4 linked regions of the Caenorhabditis elegans genome follow. The protein of the gene in region 2 purifies or fractionates together with the protein of the main gene of each other region. This does not show direct contact. Each region holds a gene or a part of one and is shown on either strand. Other genes may lie near its edges. The genes, in order: uda-1, sec-24.2, usip-1 and sar-1.

Region 1 (5,585 bases), on a different chromosome or scaffold from region 2:
TTTGAGTCGACGTTAGACCGGAAAACTGATTCTGATCCAACACTTTCTAAAACTCATAAATACCACGTCTCGTAATCTTTCCTATTCTTAGACAATCATCTAGTCTACGATTTCCATATTTCTCGAACAAACAGGCTAATATACAATAAATGCATATGTTCATGAATATTTAATATAAATTTCGCTTTTTATTATGTTCTCTCCATTTTCTCTCCGGCTCCACATGCTTCTAAATACCACTTTTATTCTCAATTGTACTTAAAAATACTACGTTCTTTTCATAAACGTACTTTGTCTGTTACATTACAATTGGTTCCTTTTGCATTTGCATCTGCATCTGCCATTCGTTTTTTTCATCTTTTTTGCAATGTTAGATCGTTGCTGTCGGAAAGGAAAATGAGATATGAGTGACAGAAGAGGGATGTAGTGGACACAAGAGGGTGAGAGAAACCAGTTTGTGGCCGGTACTCTAAACGCACCGGACATCTTCTTCGAATTCTACAAAGAGACGTCATCTTTTTCAGCGGCTGGCTACAAAATCGACTGACATGATTGTTCTTTCCAATTCTCATTTTAGTTTGTCTTATCGGTTGGAAAAGTAGAACATTTCATAAACTAGGTATAGTACTATACATATAGTGATTACATTATTTTTCTTATAGTAAAAACCTGATATCCTAAAGTAATATTTAATCAATTTTAAAGAATGGTAAACTTTTGAACAATTTTTTGAAACTCCCAATAAATATTGAACAAACGAAACTTATATTATCAATAAGCTTTTTTCAGTTGCCTACTCTCTATGCTAACTGAAGAACATTCTCTTGTGATTACTATTGTCTTTCAGAGAAGCAGAGAATAAATATAAATATGAACGTTCTGATCAACCATTCTGAATAATGTTAATATTAATATATATTCATCTCAATCTTCCAAAAATTCGTCAAGTTAAACCATATATGGTTATGTCTGACTTCTCACCGCCTCCAATCTCTCTTGCATATCCATTGGAGCGTAAATGCATTGCACTACGTGTACTCCTCTCGGAAACCCCAACAGATAATTTTTTTCGAATCTTTTCAATTTCTTCACCAGCAGCTTTCTCTCAATCTCTTTTACATCTCATTTTTAAATCCTCTACACCATCATCAATAAGAGCAATAAACATTTGACACCATACAACCATACGTTTGCGTTTTTGAACTTTCTTTGTCCATTCAATTCGTCTCGTTGATGTCAATCACTCGTCTTTGATAAAATTCTGTCTGTCGCGGACATATTGATGAAAAAACATGTCTGAGCATTATTAAAACTAGTCTAAAAATACCAAGCTCAAAGTAGGGAATGCTCTGCTTCACTGGTTGATAAAACTACCATGTGTTCTCCCATGAAAGTATGAAAACTGAAAAAAAAACAGAGTTGTTATCAGAATAAGAATAACTTATCAGCAATCATAAACTCTCAATTTCACCATATTCGTCTTTCGTTTCTTTCTCACGAATAGTACTTTTCTCGTTATTTCATAAAATAATTCATGAGAAATTCTCATTTAGAGCTATATTACACTCAAAATAATAAAACTGCGTGGCGTGTACTGCAGAAGACCTCATATTTAGGCCCCGCCTTTTTCTCGTCCACTCACGGAGAAAAGGCAAAAATTTGGGGACCGACCAATATCAGGCCGCCGACATCCTACGGGTTCCACGCGCCGCTATGTTTAACTCGCAGCGGGCGGAGACAGCTCACCACGCCCGCTGCGAGTTAAACATAGCGGCGCGCGGAACCCGTAGGATGTCGGCGGCCTGATATTGGTTGGTCCCCAAATTTTTGCCTTTTCTCCGTGAGTGGACGAGAAAAAGGCGGGGCCTAAATATGAGGTTTTCTGCAGTACACGCCACGCAGTTTTATTATTTTGAGTGTATTTTAAACTATTTTATTTTCCAATTTTCAATCGAATTCTTTTTTGGTTTTTGCACCCCAAATGGCTGTCACAACTGCTGGTACACATATTCCTCCATTTATTCACATGTTTCTTTCATTACCAAAGGCTAAAGAAAAATCACATGAATGCAACACTTTCTATTTTACACTATAAACTACAAATTTCACGTTGTCACACAATTATTATCGTTCTCCTCCTACTTTCTGTTTTTAACCAGTCATTTTTAGGTCAATCTCTCATTCCACTTGTCCTCTTCCCATTTATTTGCTCTTTTCTCGACTTTCCCGCATCTGTTTATTTGATTGACAAACGGTTTTTTACAGACTTCCCCACACTACCGTTTTCACCAACTTCTTCTTCTTCGTCAGTTTGATAATATTGTGAAATGTGAAAAAAGCGAACTCCGCCTTCGAGCAACCTCATTCCATTTCCTCTCTATAGAGGAGATCTCTACCCTGCCTAAATCGATAATCTGTGATTCTTGAAGTCGGGTTCGCTTCTTTTATTACTCGCGACACATAACGAAAATCAACGTCATGCTATTCCCTGCTTTTTCAATTCTTCTCATTTCCTTTTTCTCACTTTTATCTGTGGTAACAACAAAAACCCAATACTGGTGTCATGGCGACGGAGTTCTAAACAATGTGAGTTTTTTTTGCCTGTTTTCAGATCTCAAAATAGAAAAATATCGAACGAAGTCTACGGAAAAACGTTGTTGTTCTTTGAAAGAGATGGATGCAAGCGATACCTTTTTACACAAAGTTTTGCTTGACCGATGAAAAATCTTTCACAAAAGACAGAGAGAAATGATAAGAAATTGATGCGAAGTTTGTAGCGACATTTTAAAATGAATTTATTTTTAGCAACACACATGTCGATTCTTCACGATAGTAATTGATGCAGGATCCACAGGAACACGATTACATTTATATAAATTTATTCATGATCCCGCAATAGCTTCACATGGTATGCCTTTTAAGGTTGAAAAAGAGATATTTCAAGAGGTATTGAATAAGATAAATGTTATATTAACCTTATTTTCAATTTTAAGGTGAAACCAGGACTTTCTTCGTTTGCGAAATCTCCGAGCTCTGCCGCTGATTCACTGGAGCCACTTCTTCAAAGAGCTCGAAAAGAAGTTCCTCATTTCATGTGGGAAAAGACGCCGATCACATTGAAAGCCACAGCTGGGCTACGTCTTCTACCTGGAGATATGGCCGACGATATTCTTGAAAGTGTAGAAGAGCGGATATTTAACAGTGGATTTTTTGCCGCTTTCCCGGATGCCGTTAATGTAATGCCAGGCAGCGATGAGGGTGTGTACAGCTGGTTCACACTTAATATTCTTCTCGAAACTCTTTTCACCGGTGAGCTATTTTTTCCATTTTGTTGCCTCTATTTACTTTAGGAGCATCCTGAACAGTGTGTCATTTGAAATTTAGCACGTAGGCTATGCAAGCAAATATCATTCAAGATTATCAGGGTCAAATATCAAATCATCAAATAATTTTTAAAAAAAGATTATTTGTTTCGCATTGCGTTGGAGAATCTGCAACAAGTCATTCCGAGATAAACCACACTTTTTCAAAAAAGTTTCTAGTTTTCCGTTGACGTCTGAAAATGATTTTCGAACGACTTTCGAAAACAAGAAAAAGAAGAAGAACCGAAGCATAAATAAAAATGTGATAAGAAATGCGTCACTAGTTTTAATCGAAAATAGTTTAATACATCAAACTAGTCAAATATTACATTTCATTAAAATATCTACGAGTACGGTATCTAAAACCAAGTATTCAATTAAATCATATTAATAAGTGAAAAACATATTTCAGATGAGCCTACCGTCGGTCATAAGCCAGCAGCACATCGTTCAGTAGCTGCATTCGATTTAGGTGGAGGATCTACCCAGCTCACCTATTGGCCAAATAATGAAGCTGTTTTTTCGGAGCATGTTGGATATGAACGAGATATAGATTTCTTCGGACATCATATTCGACTTTTCACTCATAGTTTTCTTGGAAATGGATTGATTGCTGCACGATTGAACATTCTTCAATTAGAAACTGATAATGAAATCGAATCAACTCATCAATTGATCACAAGTTGTATGCCTGAAGGATATCAGCTGACAGAATGGGAGTATGCATTGAAGTTTTGGAATATCAAGTAAGAAATGCGTGTTTTGTTGATCATTAAATTAAGTTTTAAATTTTCAGTGGTTCTTCATCGCACTCCTTCGAAAGTTGCTATGGTACCACAAAGAATTTTGTAGAATCCAGTGAAATCATGCATTTGCGAGAATTGAAGGGATCTCCAGTTTATTTATTCTCGTACTTCTTTGATCGTGCTTTGAACAGTGGACTTGTTAAAGGAAACGAAGGTGGAAAGATCGAGTTGAGGCAATTCAAAGAAGCTGCGGAAATTGCTTGCCGAAGGGAAAAAACTGAAATCGACGATGGAAGTCACTGGATGCCTTGGCAGTGTCTTGATTTGACATATATTTACTCTCTGTTGCGAGATGGATATCAGTTCGAAGATAATCAGCCTCTCGTGGTAAGTCATTATTTCAATTATTATATTGCTATGAAAAATAACCTTTTGAAACTAATCCAATCTTGTTTCAGTTGGCCAAGAAAATAAAAGGAATGGAGGTTTCATGGGGACAAGGACTTGCATTTGCAACTGCCAACGAGTTTCAGCTAACAGAAGGAGCAATCAAAACTGCACTCTCATCGGAACCAAACTCTACAGTAGTTGACCAGATCTTTGATTTAGTGTACTCAGGCACAAATCAAGTACTCTCATATTTTAATATTATTTCCGTCTAACCTCATCGTCTAATACCTTCAATTCTGTGATTATTTTCCATTCCTTACCGTTCTTATTCGGGTAGACCTTTTATGCAACCACATCCTAAACCATCATCGATTCGAAATCAGACTACGAGTTTTCATATGTTCACTTTTGAACTATTTTTAAATTTTACCCATGTTATATAATTCATTTAGTTTTGCGGCATTGCCTTGTTCTCAATAAAATACATTCCTTTTCTGTTTTGTACATACATACATCCAAAAGTCAATCAGTTAGGGAAAAACATAGAGAATCTAGTGAACAATCCGAGTGATAAAATATGAAACATTTTATAATTGAAATGTTAACATTTGAATATTTGTTGTAAAACATTTTTAGTTTTCCAGTTTAAATAAGTTATTGTATTTGGTAGATTTTACTTTCGTTCAGGGGCTATTAATATTGCGCAATATATATAAATATATTGCGAAGAAAGCTGGAATTTTCAATTTGCTAGAAACGTAACTTTTTTTGGCAGCGCTCAATTCTGAATAAGCGTATTTCAATAAATCTATAAATTTTTGAAAATCTGAAAATCTATCGGTTACCATGATCACAAGATGTCGATTTAGGGGCTCGATTTTCGAAATGGATTTATCGATAGAATCAAGCAAAAAAGAAATATTACGAAGAAACTAATTTTTTACATTTCCAAAATCAAATTCTAAACAAGCGCTACAGTAGTCATTTAAAGGATTACTGTAGTTTTCGATACGGGATATTTTGCGCGTCAATTATGATGCGCAATACGCATTCTCAGAATTTTATGTTCCCGTAATATGAGCAGAAA
Region 2 (7,998 bases):
TGAAAGCTTGGTTTTTTTCGATTTTCAAGGAACCAAAATTATTTTTTTGCTTGCAGAATGAATAATTAGTAATTAACTTTTTTTCAAAAATACTCCTCGTGCAACTGCGCTCTACCGCACCACCATCCTTTTTCGTTGATTCTACAATATTCGAGCAATTTCTGAATATTGAGCATAATCTTTTTCAGGTGACATTGAAATGAACGTTGCCACATCGAATCCAAATCAAGTGCATCCACATTCAATTGCCGTATTTCCACCAGAAGAACAACAGACAACATCTCGACATTAAACAATATTTCCCCCTCCAACTGAGACCCCCCATTATATAATTCCGCAAGCTCTGTGATATTTGTCTCATTGATCCGGTTATTTATGTCTTTTCCAATCAGCCGGAAAATCATAACGAGTATTTATTTTTGTGTATAATAGTTTTGGTTTTTTGTTTCAAAATTCAATGTTTTTTCAACTCAAAAACCATAGATCCTTGGAAAAAAAACTTGATAATAAAACTGTTCACATGAGTTTTTGCTACAAAAGTGCAAAAAGCAACAAAAAATCGTAATAAATATTGCTATTTTGAAAAACCAAGAAAAAAGTAACATTAAAATCCTAACGGGGGTCGGCTGGATGATTGAACAGGAAATTTGAGGGGAAGGAAAAATGATAATAATAATAATTAGAAATACACTTTGGTATTTATCACTTTATCGATTTTTGGAAGAATTTTGGAAGACGGGCGACAAATAAAATGTATGGTGAGGCAGGGCCAAAAATGGTTGAAATATTTAGAGGATTTTCAAGAGACGGGGAGAATAATCACAACTAGAAAGAAAAAACACAAAATCAATTGATAAACCCATATCCGTTCAACTCGAGCACATTGAAGAAAGAACGGAATTTTCAAAAAAAAAAGAGAAAATAAGAACAATAATAATAATAATTACGGAGAAAGAAAAAACACCAAAGCAAAAAAAGACATGGGACACTGTTGGGAAACGGGAACAAAAAAGAGGGAATGGATATGTCACACGGATGAACTGACTGATGATGGGAACGGCATGGAGGATGAAAATTGATCAACTAATTACCACTAATCTCTCGTTTCAAATGCTGCAGGAATTCTACATATGAATGTGTTGATTCTGACCGATCATCGACAAGTCGCCGTACAAACACGTCACGGAGAGGCGAGTGTTCTCTGCAAAAATTAATTTTTTGAGCAAATCTGATTTTTCCATCAAAGCTTTGAGTGAAACTTTTCAAGAGATATTTCAGATTTTTCAAAGCAAAACTCTACAAAGATTTATGTTTCAAAATACGATACCCGGTCTCGAAGCGTCCTCAAATTCAAATCAAAGCATGCGCCTTTAGGGAGTACTGTAGCTGATAACAATACGTTTTTCACCCGTTTCTTAAATCTTAAGTTATTTTACACATTTGCACAAACTATACGATAAATTCTTTAGAAATGTGTAAAAACGTATACCACGCTCAAAACATAGAGTTTGGAGTAGCCTTTAAAAAATACAGTAGTAATTTTAAAAAGCGTATATCCTTTTTCATTTAAACAAATACTTGGTTGTGTTGAGATCGAAAATCGCAAATTTTTTCAAACGGCTCTGAGTTTTTATTTGGCAAAAAAATTTAGAAAATCAATAAAAACTTTTTTTTCAATAAATGTTAAATTAAAGACTTACTTAATCGTTATTATTGGTCCCAGATAGAATCGGAATTGTGTGACTTGCTTGAAGAACGCGTGCACTCTTCTCGACAATTCATTATCTCTTTCCAGAAGGGAATACTGTAATTTAAAATGTTTTTAAAACTATTCAATTGAAATCTCACCTCATCAATATCATTATACGTAGAAGTTCCGAAAACATTAACCAGGAAACCTGGATCTGCGGATGAAGCCACGTAGACAAAGGCAATAGTACCAGTTATCATCAGATAGACACCTCCACGACTGATATGCTCGAATGATAGTGGTAATGCTGGTGGCGACTGATCTTCTGGCATTGAGGCGAGTTCGTTGAGCCGATAGAGACGTGGATAAATGTCAGACAGAATTTGGTCCAATGGACTGAATCGCATCATCAACATTGCGCCGGCTCGTTCATCTAGGCGGATGCCACGAGACGAGGAGAATGCTGGCTGAAAATTAATTATTTAAATTTATTTAGTTTTTACAAATCAAGGCTTACATGTTTGAGCATAGCCAGCACATAACTTGGGAAGAGCCGAAGATGACCGACACGTGGAACAAGCATTCCACTTCCTCTCGATACAGCCTTCTGATATGCTCCAACACTGTCGACAACTGCATTTACAAGTGCTTCTCTTGAATCAGCAAGTGAACTTCCAGTCATAGATCGTTCTACTCCAATTTTAGCCAGATAGGATACCGTAGCTTTCAGATCAAAATTATTGTAAAGTTGAAGTAGATCACCAGTTGTTGGAAGGCACATTGTATGTACTCGAATACGACGATCACCTTTACTCGATGTATAGAGTAGTGCTGACTGGAAGCATACATATTGCGGAAGCTTCTCTTCGAGTGTCACTTGAGCCGCAAGTGCAGAATCTGGATTCACGTTGGCAAGTGCCAAAAGATCTGGAGATCGGACGAAGAAGTTTCCGTAGAAACCGGTTAGAGCGAGGCCACGAGACGTTCGAATACGAAGAACTGCTTCAAATCCGAGTTTTCGTGTCAAATATCGAGTGAGAGTCCGTTCGAATCGTTTTACTTGATGGATATCATTTCGATAGTTGTAGTTCGGGAAATGGTAGACACATCCTGTCGAGAACTTTGCAATTTCAGCTGAAAATGGAATTATTTTCAATCATTTTGAATTTAACTTTCAAATTTGACAGACAATTTGAAAGCTGCCCCGGATTTGTGGTGTTTCAGACATTTTCTACATTTTTTTAACGAAAAACTGGAATTTTTTCGGATTCAGCATCTACAAATTAACACCTTAAAATCGAGAAAAAAAATTTTGGAAAATCGATCTAACTACGATTTATTAACTGTTTGATTTTTTTTTTTAATTTTCCAGGTATCAAGATAAAAACTGTATTTGCAGAGGTTTTTTGATACACCGAATCTGAAAAATGTCAGTTTTTCGTTTTTAAAAAATTTGACAGCATCCCCTCACCAATAAAAGGAATTCTCCAAAAAAACCTACAAAGAGTTGCCAAATCAGCATATTGCGTGTTGAACATAAACAGATCAAGGCAAATCTGCGATCCGGTGCACTCTAACGATAGAGCTTTGTAGAAATCGGTTGCTGGCCCCAAATTCTGACCACCTTCCGTCGATTCTTCTCTGCTTTTCAGTGCTCCTAATCCAAGATTTGGTAGGCTGACTTGGAAGATTGATATCCTTCCTCCAACTTCTTGTATCATGCTCTGCGCGAGCTTCAATGCAGATCCGAGGCAATTTCCATTTGAAGTTGGGCCGATTTGAGAGTAGAATTCGGGAAGTTGCTTGATAAAAGTTCGAATTGTATCTTTGAATTTCTTCATAGGAACAAGCAGTGATGTGACTGATGGAAGAAAAGCGTCATCGATATCGTCTACAATCATTTCATTCGGATACCGCTTATTACTAGAAAATGAGAAGAAATGCAAGCATTGATCGACAGCAATGAAGCACACTTGAGAACGATCATCTCCTGGCATTTGATCTATATTGATGAGAAGTTGCTCGGCAAATGTGTGTAAATAGCCTGATTGAATTGCTGCAGCACTAATATCAATCACGAATACATAGACAGCAGGTTGAGGTGGACGTAACTGAAATCGCTTGTTTAAATTTAGAAAAACATCGTTTAAAATATGAAAATACCATGTATTCCGATGGAGCAATAAATTCAACCGTCGCATTTTGAATTTCCGGTCTGTTTCGAGGATCTCCGAATGCTTTTGTCACTGGGTCCCAGCAGAAATCATCAGGCACTGAAAACAAAAAATGGTTTTCGCATTTTCTCAATTTCACATTTTTCAGTCAACATACGGTCGTTATTTCTATTACAGAGATTGCATTTCCAGTGTCGATGATCAGGAAGATATACATATGGATTAATATATGTCCGACAATACCGACAACGTACAATATTCGATGTTTGTATAATATTGAGATTCTTAACATCTCGGAACGGATGAAGTGTTATTGCAAATGGTAATCGACTCTTTTTCAGTAGTTCTTCTGTTTGTGGAACTTGGGCGAGTGTTGAGCGGAAAATACTGAAGAGAAAATTATTAATATTTCTAATATCTGCAATAGTAACGATTCTGGATTTTTGCTTGTATAGACTCAAAATTTGGTCAGATGAACCAATTTCTTGATGCGAGATAATCGATCAAAATATGCAATAAAGGATTTAAACTAAATAAAAGTCAAATTCCGACAGCTGCGATTCGAGATTTTAGCTGATATCAGCCAGTAGCGAAGGCATTTTTGAGAAGTCTCACTACGAAATTCGTCCATTCGGCCACATTTTGAGTTTATTTATACAAACAGAATTCCTTCTTCAAGAGAAAATCCTCACTTTGGATCAACATGAGCATTCGGATTCGCGACTTGTTGAGGAATCTGAATCTCGATATCTTCAAAACCAAGTTGTTGAACATTTCTTTCAGCAATCAGATCAATTATATCATTGCGATACCCGCCCATTTGTTGCTGAGGACCAGGAGCTCCGCTCATGTTCTGAAAATCAACTTTATACGGGGAAATAACAAATATGAATAAACCATTTGTCCAAATTGCTGATTCATATTTTGCATTTGAGGTTGTGGGACTTGTGGTTGACCATACTGTGAATTTTGCTGTGGCTGGGGAGGATATCCTTGTTGCTGTGAAGCCGGAGGATAAGCAGCTGGTGCTTGAGGCCGTGGAGCCATTTGTTGCTGATAAGAAGGCGTTGGAGTTGGTGCCGGTGGAGGTTGAGCAGCAGGAAATGGAGCAGGTCGGGCTGAAGCAAGTGCAGATGGGATCGGAGGCTGAATACTTGGAGCTGCTGAACCAACTGATGGTGGTGGAGTTGGAAACGCTGGCGGTCGGGACTGAAATAAAACATTCAATTCTTCTGTATATGCAGTATTAACCATACCACAGCTGGTGGTGGTGGAGCATGATGGCCGTTCATAGAAGGCTGAGTAGCGGGTGAAAAGGACGGTGGTTGATGAGAAAATCCTGCAGAATGAGCTGGAAAAGCTGAAGCTGCAGTTGGATAATTTGGCGCAGCATGGTTATATTGATAACTTGGTGCTCCATTTGGGATTTGAGATACGGGTTTCACCTGAAAATAGAAAATTAAGGAAGGAAATGGAAATATGAAAGTAAAGATGAGAATCAATACATACCGGCTCTTGCGAAGTCGTTGCAGTCGGAAAAGGAAACGGATTGGCTGCATAATTGGGAGGAGCATTATTTAACGGAGCCGCAGATGGTTGAGAAAACTGACTGAATTGTTGGACGTGTTGATATTGTTGATTCTGGTTTTGACCGTACGCCTGCGGAAATCCAACGTTTCCCGGCGCTGTCGGTATATTCGACATCCGTCGATAGCTCGTGTAACCCGCTGAAATTGTATAATGAAATTATATTGCGAGAAAAGAACAAAATAAAACAAGTTCACAACGGTAGATAAATATTTAGCTGACGAGACGAATGAACGTGGCGAAAGAAATTTAATCAATAACTTCAGAGAGTACGGTAGATTTAGATGGGTGCAAACAGAATGACGAACAAATGCACAACTAGAGAAAATCAGTGATCACATTTTTTTCTAATTTTTTTTGCGCGAAAAACCAGCATACTGCTGAACAAATATAATTTATTTTTGGCGCAAATATCGTTTAAATGTTCACTTCAGTTTTTAAAGTCATTATTTTCATTTTCAGCAAAGTTTATAGCGTTTAATAATTAATTGCTCTTGAAATTTGCCTAACTTCGCAACGCTTCGAAATTTCGCGACTCTCTTCTCACCGGCGATCTTTAGAATAGATTTTACAACGTAAACAAAAATATTTATGACAATATTTTCTGATTTTGCTCGAGTATCTCATTGAACACGAAGAATTACGCCATGGAAGGCGACCTCAAGCGCGCGATGCACACAGACACTAGCGTCTCGCGCTCTTTCTCTTTGCCTCGCTGGAAATTCTTTTTCATTTTGCCTTCTTCTCTCGCCACACATTGGCGTCGTCGGTTTCTGCTTCATTGTGAAACGTGGATTTTGCGCTGAAATCAATAAAATCACTGTTTTCTCGCTTTCTCTTTTACTCTTCACTCTCACTCTCAATTTCCACGTAATCCTTGAAATAATTCAGAGGAGCGGAACAAAAAAGAACATTTACTGTACGAAAAATAGGAGAAGAGGTGGAAGAATATCGCCGAGAGGGAGGCCCTCGTATGAACAAAGCGAGAGAAGATCAGCAAGATGTTAAATAATTTTCATAGCGTTCAACACAGGTTTTATTAGTAAGTGAGAAGAAAGTTCCAACTCAGCAATTGGATCAAAAATCGATAATGGAGGGTGTTTTGAGTGTTTTAGTGTAATATAAATGAAAAATTGTCAATTTGATAAAGGTTTCCGAATGTGAAAGCTTCCCCCGAAACTGGTGTTCCTGGATTCTGTAAAAAGTGCGGTTGGCAGAAAACATTGAATGCATACCGTAGTTAGATACGCAGGCATCGCCGCGTTCGCCCGGCCAAGCCTCTATTGGAGCGACCGCCACCACCGCAGAGTGAGAGCGGACACCGTTCTCCAATTGTGTTTCTTAAAATAACAATATTTTGTTACTATTTCAGCCAAACAATCACTTCTGGCGGATGACCGGTATTTTAAATGGTCAGAGTGTTAAAAAGGTACTTTTTGAACCGAAAAAGTGTCATTTAAATGTATCTTGTGTCAATTCTCGAGAGAAATTCCACACAATTTAGTTAGAAAAACTCAAACTTACCTTTTAATAATTTTAAAATCACATTTTGAAAATTTAATTAAATAAAATTACTATTTAGATCAACATAAAAACGGTTTTAATTTTTTAAACTGAAATTCAAAATTTTAAAATTAAAATAAAATAAATTCATAAATTAAAACTATCTGTTGACTTTAATAATTTCAAAAAAAAAAAATTAAAAATGTGGTTATGCCAGTGGCCAGCGTGTATCTCTGATGAAATCATCATCGGTCGCTTCAATATCGATTTTTCGCGGCGGGCCCGCCATCTGCCGTGTACATTGTCGACCACGGACACAGACAGAGCATCATTCATTATTTTTTAACTTTTTCTAACCTACCTGTTAGTACTTTTGTCGGTCGGTGTAAGTTTTCAAGATTTTATCAACACCGAAATTAGATACGGATGATTTAAATCGGGTTTCGTAAGAAGATTGAAAATAAAGTTAGCAAATATTTTCTAAGCTCGTCGTCACAATTAAATCGATAATATGAAACTGAACTCTATAATGAGGCTTCTCAAAAAAATTCCCAAAAATTCTTTGATGGTGGGTAAAAATTAAAAAAAAAAGAGCCATTTTTTGCTAAAATCTAAAATTTCGTCGCCCTGTCCTTGTCGCAGCAGCAGGAATCTAGTTTTTCTCCCCTTTTATTGCATATTTTCTTATAGTGTGTTAATTCGATTAAGCACATTTAAAGTCGATAGGCATTCAATTATCGATTTGAAATGTGCCAAAATCTACGAATTAACGCGATATACGCGACGAAAATATGCAATAAAAGGTTGTTTTGGGTCAGTTTTAGTATTTTTAATCTAAAAAAATTCATTGGAGAATGTTTTAAATAAAATATTTTAATTTCAGTGATGTAATGTCATCAGGAGATATGACATCGGAGTACAAGGACAAACAAGGCGGAGGAGCTGGCCAGCCACTCACAAAGTCTGAAAACAACGATGGAAAAAAGACGTTAACCAATGGAATGAGTCGAGTACATCGAGTGTTAACTGAAGACGAAATTGCCA
Region 3 (5,370 bases), on a different chromosome or scaffold from region 2:
ATGTAAATAATAAGTTCATCCAATAAAATTTTTATAAAATAGAAAACATGATCATCACTGAGATCAAATGAGTCGTTTTCACAAGGTGGATGAAAAATACTTTTTAAAAAGTTTAATTGGAATATTCAGTCAAATGTGCCTTTCTCCAATGTAATTGTGAATTTTGATGTAACTGATGCAACTGATGAATTATCAAAACTACCAAACATTGAAGAATTTGTATCACCAGGTGCAACAGAACATTCTCGTGACATGAAAATCAAAATTTTAGGATCAATTCCAACTGCTCTCATGACAGATTCTCGATACGGTTTGATAAAAGTAACGGTAATCAATGGATTGATAACGGGAACCAAAACGGCAAAAAGAAGTGTGAAACTTTCAAGAACTGGAGATTCAACGATCCTCAGCTGACCAAGTAGGAAACAAATTGATGAGAATATAAAAGCAATTGGAACAATAGTCTGAACTGTCAGTGCCTGCAATAAATCATATTTCAAAATAATTTACATTTTCAGACTAACCCAAGTCAGCTGTCTATGTTTTTCTCGAATTTCCGGACGGAGAATTGCATTTCGTAACTTGAAGTGTATTTTTCGGCGGAGCCCATACATAATCAAATATCCAGGGATAATTGGAATAAGCATTAGAAGATATGAAAACAAACACGGAAATTCTCGAAGATCAGCATGTCCATTTATAACAAAATCTTGTAATTTATATTGAGAATGATGAATTTGAATAAGTTGTCGAACATCTTCTGGCTTGTTGTTATCAATGAATACGAAAATTGCTTGCAAGTATGATGGGAAGTATATAATGCAAATTAAAATGATAAGCTGTTTAGCTTTTGGATATCTTTCCAGAAGAACATAACATCGGAATATAAAACAGAGAATTAGAAGATGAAAAGAATATGAATGAAAATGAAGTTGAAGACTGAAACCCAGAAAACAAGACCATTCACTGAGATATTTGCAAAGTCCAGTTGAAGCAATTCCAAGTGTTGTACCACTTGGGATTAATCTGAAATTAATTATATATAGCTCAACTCGCCATTGGAGTATAAAGAAAAAATTTGGGTTCTTTTTTGAAAGTGTAATCTCATGAATTATATATAAGCGTGGAAAACATGAAAACGGCCCTGCTTAATTTTGACATTATTGGAAGAAACTAGAGCATATCGAGAACATGGTGCATTGCTAGGAAATGCAAAATAAAATTTGGAAATTACCTTGATTGACTGAAAATATCAAAAAAACAAGCAAGTGCATCAGATCCACCTCTGACAGTCAATAATATAGAAAATGTTCCAATAGATTTAGGGCTTCTGAATAAAGTTAGAAAAATCAAAATCGTATTGAAAACAATTCCGAGAAAAGCGAGCACATAGTGTAGAATAAATATAACCAAAAGGAACATCTTTGTACATTTTTGATATTTTTACATTTATATACTAAATTCGATTTCCGATTTATGTTATGCTTGTCCTTTTATTCGAATCCCAGCAATCAGAATCGAATTTCCGTTTATTTTTTCGTTTGTAGACGAACTCAATTCCAAATAAAAAATATTATTAATTCAAATTCAATCTTTGAAAGACCGATGTTTATGGAATGATGTTTATAATTTTTAAGCAGGCATAAGTTTTGGTTGATTAGAAGGATTCTGATCAATCAATGCAAATAATTTCTAAGACAATTTTATAAAATTTATTTAATAATTTTTTTTAAAAACAACTTTTTCCCTTTAGAAAGGCAATGCAGAGAAAACTTACTAGACAAATACATACTAGTACTAGGTCCACAACTAAAATTTGTCAATAAAAATTTATTTGAAAATCCGCCACTTACGACACTCCGATATAACGATGCGCGTGTAGTTTATCAACTCAGTTTTTCAGTCATTTTTCGAAAAACTTTTTTATTGCGCGAATCTATTTAAAATTTGTTACTCTTTTTTTATTATTATTCTGATAAACGCAAAATTTAAATCCCTGAATGCGCACGTTCCAATTAATTTGTAACCTATAACAAAATGCAATGTGTTGTTTATTATAATGAAAATTGTTTTGCTCGAATTTTCGACGAAGATTCCCTAGTGTATTCGATTCCATGGCAACGCATGATTCCATTCTCCATCCTCTTTGTTTACCTAAAATTATATATTTTTCCAGATATTTCAGTTATGCGATAATGTCTTCAAACTTGCAACTGGTTGAAACGTTTGATAGTCGTCAATTCGTTGTTGCTCGTTGGAATCGAAATGATACGACAGCTATGGTTCCTTCTGCAATTGCTGTCGTTGTCTTCGTGGAGTCGGTTGAGTATAAACTTGGTTGTAAGGTAAAAAATATTGTTATGCTGTGAAAACAAGCATTTGAAATTAAACCGTTTAGGAGAAAATAGGATACTCTCCAACACCTGAAGATCAAGATCAGTTTATGATATTGCAAATGGAATCAATAGATGAAGCCAACAGGATTTGCCACGATTCCATCGCTAAAGGATTTGCAATCAACAATGTAAATAATTATTTTTAGCTGATTGTATACAATTCCTTTTATTTTCAGACGAAAATCGTGTTCACTCCCCTTCTAGGCTTGAACGGATTCAGACTTCAAGATGCCATTGATTTCATGAAAACTTCGCAACCGCACTTCAATAACGACGAGCTTTTGGAAGTGTTGACAATGGCTATCTGTCAAGAACTTCCTGAACGCTTAAAAATTCTCGAAGATGGATTTTCCTTCATTGAACAAGGGGTTTCTGAGCTCATTCAAAATTCTGCTTGTGAGATGTTCGGCTCTTTTGCATCACCGGTGCGGCGAAATGGTTACTCAGACATTGTAAGTTGTTAGAAAAATAATTTTATTTTATTTTATTAAGAAACAATAATGTTTTTAGGACATTAACGTGGAATCAGTCAGCGCTCCAGGTCAACGCGTTTCTACAAATGTAAGACCATTGAACGAAGTTGTGGCAAATCCAAAGGTACAAAAATTACTGTAAATTGTCCTGAAACAATATACAATTACAGTGTCTCATCACTCATCCACTAACCAAATCGGAGCTTGAGACATACCCACAAGAGGAAATTATCAAAATTCTCTACCGGTGCTTCAACGAGAACAGTGCATTCAAAACTAAATTCGAGATGCGTTTCTTACCTGCACGCACTCCAATCATAGTCTTCAAAAATATCGAAGTGGAAGGAATGAATGTATGTTGACGCTTTCAAACATTGATAATTCATTCATTTCAGGTGTCATACGATCTATCAGTTCACAATCAAATCAGTGTTGAGAAGGCGAGCTTGTTGCATGAATTCATCGTAAAAGACAAGTCGAAGGGAAGTAGAATGAAAAATGCAATGATGTTCATCGTACACTGGGCAAAATCAAATAAGTTGCTATCGGGTGACTATCCGGTAATTATATATTGAATTAGGCAGTTCTTAAACTTCATTATTTTAGGAAGAGAAGCTTGAAGTCAAGACAAAGCTGAACTCTTACATCATCAATCAGCTCGTTATTCATTTTGTTCAAGCAGCAACCAACAAGGTTCATGTGAATCCTCAAGCAAAGCGAGATTCTCGAGTCAATGAATACAACTTTGACACTCTGTTCGGCGATTATTGCAAGTTTTTCCGAGAGCTTTTCAAATACTATGCCAACTTTGATTTTACGAACAAAGCGATTTACGGGAAGAAAGCGATGCAAAAGTAAGTTAAAAACTAATTTCTCACAACTAATTTGTATATTTTTTTTTAGAAAAACACTCTCAAGTGCGCACGGAGGCGTTGAAGAATCTCCGTTGATGTTGATGGATCCCATGGATATTACTCATAATATTTCGGCAAAAGTAACAGAAGACGCGGTCAAACTACTAAATGGTCTTATTCGGAACGCTCTTTTCATTGTAAGCATTATTTTGATTGTTTATGGATTAAAAGTTATATTTTCAGTTGAAACAAAATCATTTTCACATCAACTATCTTCTGGAAACCAACACGATGGCTACTATGCTTATGAAGAGCAGAGAGCCAAAAATCAGTATATCAACTAGAGTAACTGATGGAGCCGAGCACCAGTACTTGTCAGTACAACTTCCAGCCGTGGTGATAACCTCGAGTGATCTTTTCCTCCTTCTTACTAGAGTTCTTCGCTTTAATGTCTGTCCGAATGAGCAAGGACCCAGTGTTGTTGATTTATGTACTCCAACGGTTAGTTCTATAGAATAGAAAGAATGTGACGTTTACAACTACTATTAATTTCAGGGTGCCATTTTCCTTGTAACTTCAAGAGCTTGGGTTGGACGTCGCAATACGAAACGCGCTTTGAAAAACTCTCGTCACGATTTGACGCCTCTCCAGATTGATGTTATGTGCAGTGACAAGTACGATTACGAAGAAGATATTGCGGAGTTGCGTATCTCGATGAGCACTGTTCCTGGCACCAGAATTAGGTTGGCATGCATCGATATAATGCGTGGTCAAGTTTCCGAAGTTCGCGACGCAATCCACTTTTTGATTGATCAATTCATTAACAATAACTACGATGACCTCGAGAAGAATGGCGTTCAAACCATTTCCAGGATTCCAATTGCAGCCCCAACTTGGCCATAATCATGTTCTCAATGTATAAGTGTTCTATGAATTCGATTTGTATGTATGATCCACCATATATTTTATTTCATATTTATTCCGGTATTTTTCTGACACGTCACCCAGTGACCATTTTCCATTGAATCTCAACAAATAATTTTTCCGCTTTATTATATTCAACACCCAACTTTCATGATCACTTCTCGGTCTGTGTTCTATTTATGTATATCGAAATTTCTAAGTTTGAAATACACTGGTCATCTTGAAAGCGATTTTTGAGTTCATTGTCGGTTAATATTCCAATTTATATCTAAAACATCAATTTGAATAGGAAATGTATCAAAACTGTATTCAGATGGATCAGAAGGGTTCACAAAGAGCACTACTGGCACAAACAATAAATGAAATTGTCAAGCTTCTTATTGAAGCTCACAATCAAAAAAAGGATGTCAACTTGAATCGGCTGAAATGCATCGTATGTGGTTAGGCGGTAAAACACATTTCAATAAATATTTTCAGGTTGCTCAAAAGAATGGACTGAGTTTTCAACCGAAACTCGTTGACATTATCGCTGGAGTTCCGTCCGATTACAAAGACAGCCTTCTTCCAAAACTCAAGGCAAAACCAGTTCGAACTGCTTCTGGAATTGCTGTTGTAGCAGTGATGAGCAAACCACATCGTTGTCCTCACATCAATTTCACTGGAAACATTTGTGTCTATTGTCCCGGTGGGCCAGATTCTGATTTCGAGTATTCAACACAAAGT
Region 4 (4,223 bases), 7.8 Mb from region 2:
AAAATTATAGTGAGAAAACCATGCGGCCACCTTGCAAAATTGTGTGCCAGGCTTGCCTTAAAGCCACGCCCACAAAATTTATTAAATATTAAATGAATTAGAATAAATTTCACTTTTTTTCTGTAAAATTAAATTTAAAAAACCGCTCACCTCACATTCACTAATCCTAAAACATCGTTATTGATCCTCCGCAAAAGATACATATTTATAGCGAACGATATTATTCGAGCGATTAGCTAAAAGTTCAAATTTTCTGCTCAAATTAATATTTTAATATATTTTTACCTGCCCCCGTACATTATGAACAAGTGACGAGAATAATGACATGGTTTTTATCGCTTTTTAATCTGAAAATTGAAAAAAACAATTCCCGCAAAATTATCGAATTCAAAGTATTTTGACGATAAAACTATTTTAATAGAGTTTACAAGTAAAATATAGATGATGATAAATTCAAAATATTTATTTAAAATTCTATGAATAAAGGAGGTTCCCTTCCCTGATTATTGGATATTCGTAGTGGGTGCACACGAACACCATTGCGTCGAGAGAGTGGAGGAATAGAGAATTGGAGTGAGCTGTGTGCACTCAAATGTACTGCAGAAGCCATCTGTGAGACTACGACGAAAAGGTTCTTCTGGAAAAATAGCCAATTATCTGATCTGAAATTAATTTTTTTTCCGCACCTGAAATAGAAATGTGTCCGTTTGACCACTTGGAACACAAACCACATAATGGAATGTTTGACCATGTCGCCTGACTACAGGCCCTTGTGATCAAATGTACTCCGATCAACAATTTTCTTTTCAAATTCCAAGTTTTTCAGTTTCAGTTATAACTATAGTTAAAGCTCGCCACAAAGAAAACAACTATATGGCGTGACGTTTTTTTTCTTGTGAGTAGCGTGATAAGAGAATAATTTCTGGGAAAACTTCGAACTGCAACATTCCGAAGCTGTTTCATTCACATAGAACTAACCGAAATAAAAAATTAGAAAATCTGAGGGGGAAATGAAGTGGGACGAGAAGAAAAATGGGGATGTTTGAATGATAGTGATGTGATAAATACGGAATAGATGAGGAAAAGGTTTGAATAAATTTTTGTGGAGAATAGAAAAACAATGAGGACGCCGTGAATTTTTTACAAGTCCGTATAAGTCAAAATTTATAAATAAAATAAAATGGGATTGCGGCTTGCTTTTTTATGCACAAACGTCGAAGGCATGAGAAGTTTAATGATGAGGATCCCAAGGATCCCAAAAGAAAAAACGAAGGAAAATGACAAGTACGTACAACAAATCTATGGGAAATGTTGGCGGCGCAATATGTAAGAGAATGGTGCTTTTTTCGAGAATGGAATAAAAAAGGAGTGAGCAGAAGAAGAAGAGTTCAAGAACTGATCTGTTTACAGGTACTGTCCAAGCCAACGGATTCCTTCTCCGTATCCTTGTCGCTGAAGAACAGAGCACATGAACACTTCCATCGGCCGAGAAGCCATTTCGTTGCGGGAAACGTCTCCTATAAAGATTTTCGTTTTTTAAATAAATTCAAGCGATAATTTCCAATCAAAAACCAACCCTTTCCGGTGCACATATGTTGAATGTTGAGTTGCCACTTGAGCTGATCCTCACTCAATGCTCCTGGCTTGTCAATCTTGTTTCCGAGAATAAGCACTGGAACGGAAGCGATCTGCTCGTCCTGGAGCAGCGATTCGAGCTCAACACGGCTTTCTTGCATTCTTTCGGCGTCGGCCACATCGATCAAGAAGACGACGGCGTCCACGGCAGGGAAGTAATCTTTCCAGACTCGTCGTGCTGGAAAAATGAAGAAAATTAGTTTAAAAAACCGAAAAAACGAGTGAATACCTTGCGCGTGACCACCGAGATCGTATGTGGTAAACGAAATTCCTCCGAGTGACATTTGCTCAGATGCTGAAAAATAATCAATTCAATAATTCTCACAACTAGTTTTTTGCGTCATCATCTTTAGCAATTGACAGATGATAAGCAAAACCGGTCAATCAGCTGTAAAGAAGAGAAAGATATCATTTTTTTAAAGTAAGATTCCTTCCTTTAACAGGCTGAACTACACCGGAATTGCTTTTAAAATCAATAAAAAGCGATAATTACTTGGGTGAAGAGTGGGAACGTGTTGAGCAATACGATCATCTTTAAGCATGTGAAGCAGTGTAGTCTTTCCAGCGTTGTCTAGTCCCAAAAATACCAATTTTCCCTTTTTGTTGGCCAATCCTGTAAATAAAAGGTTTTATGATGGTAAAATTCAGTTTTACAAACCCAGCATGTTGAGCACTCCATTAAACCAGTCCCATAAAAACGACATATTGAATCTGGAAAATTATGCAATTAATTTATTAATTAAATCACTTAAAAATCGGGTAAATCAGGCATTTTTTAGAGAATAAATGAATGAACTGAAATAGATCAAAAGTGGGAACTTTTAGTGGTTAAATGGGGGTGAGAAAAGAGGAAAAGAGAGAAAATAACGAGGCGGAGACATTCTGTGTAGCGTGCTACACAGAGACAAAACGACACGCGCTTCCACGTGTACCCGAAAAGAGAAAAGAGACGCAGTGTGATAATCAAAAAATTCTAATTCTGAAAATCGGCGATTCGGGACCAGGAAAGCTTCATTTAAAGTGAATCCGGAAAGCGCTGACGTGTCCAAAGTGGCAGATGGTCGAGAAGTGCGCCAGCGTCGGGAAATGCGTCAGTAAGGATGAAAGGCGCGCTTTCCGTGCGGAATGGAGAAAATACGCTTAAGCTTTAAATAACAATTAAAGGCATGCAAAATTCGACAAATATCACAAATTTTAAGTAGAGACGAAACATAATGGAAAGACAATTGGCATTTACAATGTAAAACTCCTAAATTTCAACAATAATCGGTGGAAAATTAAATTTTCGTTTAAATAAAAAGTTTAAAGAATAAAACTTACGCGCCAAAACTCCTTTTAATGAAAAATGTTCAGATCACTTCGAAAAATCGATTTTTGAAACTGATTCGAAAAAATTTAAATGTTGAAAAGAGTTTTTATGGCATGGTTTTTTCTCGATAAAAAAGAAAACGTGAAGGAAATGTTTTTCTTTTGAAATTATTCATTGAAATTTGAATTTATAAAATAGTAAAACTTATTCAGCTACATTTGGTCTCGACACGCCAGATAATTTGTTTAATGCCTCAAAAAAAGCGTGCGCCTTTAAATACTACGGTATATTTCTTCGATTTTAAATCCGCTCAATTTTTGAGAAACTGAAAAATGAAATTTTTAATACCATGGGAGAAACTAATACCGCGACCCGAAGGTTTGTCATTTTTGTGGCAAAATACGGTATCCGGTCTCGACACGACAATTTGTTGTTAATTGCAAAAAGGTGTGCGCCTTTAAAGAGTACTGTAGTCTCAAACTTCTGTTGTTGCACAATTTTCATTGTTTCTCATATTTTTCTTAAAAATAGGTGTATCAATTATAAAAAAATATAAAGTAGAGTTTCCTACCGTCCAATGTAGGCTATGCCAACACGCAAAATTCACGTTAGTTTGAAAGTTTTCATTTTCAAAAAAAAAATCAAGTTCATTCATTTATTTTTTTTTTCGAACTTTATTTTAAGCCAGTCGGAGTAGGTCGAGCCGTAGGCTCGAACGACACCGGCTGGTCAATTATAAAAAAAAACACACATAAATATTATTTAGCAAATCGCGAGTAAAACTGCAAAAAATCGATGAAAATTCCGCTGCACCAAAAGTTTCAAACTACAGTACTCCTTTAAAGGAGTACACCTTTCTGTGTTTAACAAAGATAGTCATGTCGAGACCGGGTACCGTATTTTCGCCTCAAAAATTACGATTTTTTCGTTTTTTTTTAACTCAAAAACCTGTAAAAATATTTTTTTGACAGGAAAAATTAAAAATCCGAAAACTACTGTATTTTTAAAGGCACATAACTCATCTCTGCAGTTTCAAACTCATCTCTGCAGTTTCGATTCAGTAATTTTCGGCCGTGTCGAGACCCGGATTCTTGTTTTCCCTGAACAAATAAAAATTAAACTTTCTAAAATCACCATTTTATTTGAAATTAGACAATTTCAGTCAGTGAATTGTTGTCTACTACTCACGAAAATGACATAATAAAATATATATAAGAGAAATAAAATAAGGCAACAGTATATACAGACAAAGGAAAGAACGAGGCAAAAAAAAGACGAG

Evidence for each region.
Region 1: the proteins of sec-24.2 (region 2) and uda-1 fractionate together in Caenorhabditis elegans (co-fractionation; one large-scale study listed by BioGRID). This does not show direct contact.
Region 3: the proteins of sec-24.2 (region 2) and usip-1 fractionate together in Caenorhabditis elegans (co-fractionation; one large-scale study listed by BioGRID). This does not show direct contact.
Region 4: the proteins of sec-24.2 (region 2) and sar-1 fractionate together in Caenorhabditis elegans (co-fractionation; one large-scale study listed by BioGRID). This does not show direct contact.

Annotation. Positions count from the first base shown.
Region 1 is NC_003283.11:10,002,490-10,008,074, forward strand, and holds uda-1 (Nucleoside-diphosphatase uda-1), read left to right. Parts: upstream 1-2,265; 5' UTR 2,266-2,478; coding exon 2,479-2,586; intron 2,587-2,805; coding exon 2,806-2,946; intron 2,947-2,993; coding exon 2,994-3,309; intron 3,310-3,774; coding exon 3,775-4,108; intron 4,109-4,158; coding exon 4,159-4,495; intron 4,496-4,566; coding exon 4,567-4,770; 3' UTR 4,771-4,993; downstream 4,994-5,585. Other genes in the region: K08H10.10 (uncharacterized protein), read left to right, coding at 1-75. UniProt on the Caenorhabditis elegans protein: Hydrolyzes UDP and GDP but not any other nucleoside di-, mono- or triphosphates. May promote reglycosylation reactions involved in glycoproteins folding and quality control in the endoplasmic reticulum.
Region 2 is NC_003282.8:12,355,202-12,363,199, forward strand, and holds sec-24.2 (uncharacterized protein), read right to left. Parts: upstream 5,592-7,998; 5' UTR 5,569-5,591; coding exon 5,374-5,568; intron 5,310-5,373; coding exon 5,121-5,309; intron 5,074-5,120; coding exon 4,762-5,073; intron 4,718-4,761; coding exon 4,557-4,717; intron 4,252-4,556; coding exon 4,022-4,251; intron 3,964-4,021; coding exon 3,854-3,963; intron 3,802-3,853; coding exon 3,192-3,801; intron 2,825-3,191; coding exon 2,208-2,824; intron 2,158-2,207; coding exon 1,849-2,157; intron 1,805-1,848; coding exon 1,701-1,804; intron 1,202-1,700; coding exon 1,084-1,201; 3' UTR 501-1,083; downstream 1-500. Other genes in the region: best-22 (Bestrophin homolog), read left to right, coding at 189-292; ZC518.8 (Glutathione S-transferase), read right to left, coding at 6,563-6,646, 6,687-6,707.
Region 3 is NC_003283.11:12,181,001-12,186,370, reverse strand, and holds usip-1 (U6 snRNA-specific terminal uridylyltransferase), read left to right. Parts: upstream 1-2,176; 5' UTR 2,177-2,195; coding exon 2,196-2,345; intron 2,346-2,398; coding exon 2,399-2,524; intron 2,525-2,572; coding exon 2,573-2,848; intron 2,849-2,906; coding exon 2,907-2,993; intron 2,994-3,039; coding exon 3,040-3,222; intron 3,223-3,264; coding exon 3,265-3,429; intron 3,430-3,475; coding exon 3,476-3,723; intron 3,724-3,772; coding exon 3,773-3,920; intron 3,921-3,966; coding exon 3,967-4,224; intron 4,225-4,278; coding exon 4,279-4,626; 3' UTR 4,627-4,870; downstream 4,871-5,370. Other genes in the region: srd-4 (G protein-coupled receptor), read right to left, coding at 126-479, 525-1,026, 1,235-1,422; elpc-3 (Elongator complex protein 3), read left to right, coding at 4,961-5,080, 5,125-5,370. UniProt on the Caenorhabditis elegans protein: Acts as a specific terminal uridylyltransferase for U6 snRNA. Responsible for the addition of UTP at the 3' end of U6 snRNA which stabilizes U6 snRNA. Does not have activity towards modified uridine containing 3'-monophosphorylation or 2'-O-methylation.
Region 4 is NC_003282.8:4,510,974-4,515,196, forward strand, and holds sar-1 (Small COPII coat GTPase SAR1), read right to left. Parts: upstream 2,347-4,223; 5' UTR 2,340-2,346; coding exon 2,294-2,339; intron 2,249-2,293; coding exon 2,129-2,248; intron 1,931-2,128; coding exon 1,865-1,930; intron 1,814-1,864; coding exon 1,577-1,813; intron 1,518-1,576; coding exon 1,405-1,517; 3' UTR 920-1,404; downstream 1-919. Other genes in the region: rfth-1 (Man(5)GlcNAc(2)-PP-dolichol translocation protein RFT1), read right to left, coding at 151-236, 286-327; ZK180.8 (uncharacterized protein), read right to left, coding at 467-610. UniProt on the Caenorhabditis elegans protein: Small GTPase that cycles between an active GTP-bound and an inactive GDP-bound state and mainly functions in vesicle-mediated endoplasmic reticulum (ER) to Golgi transport.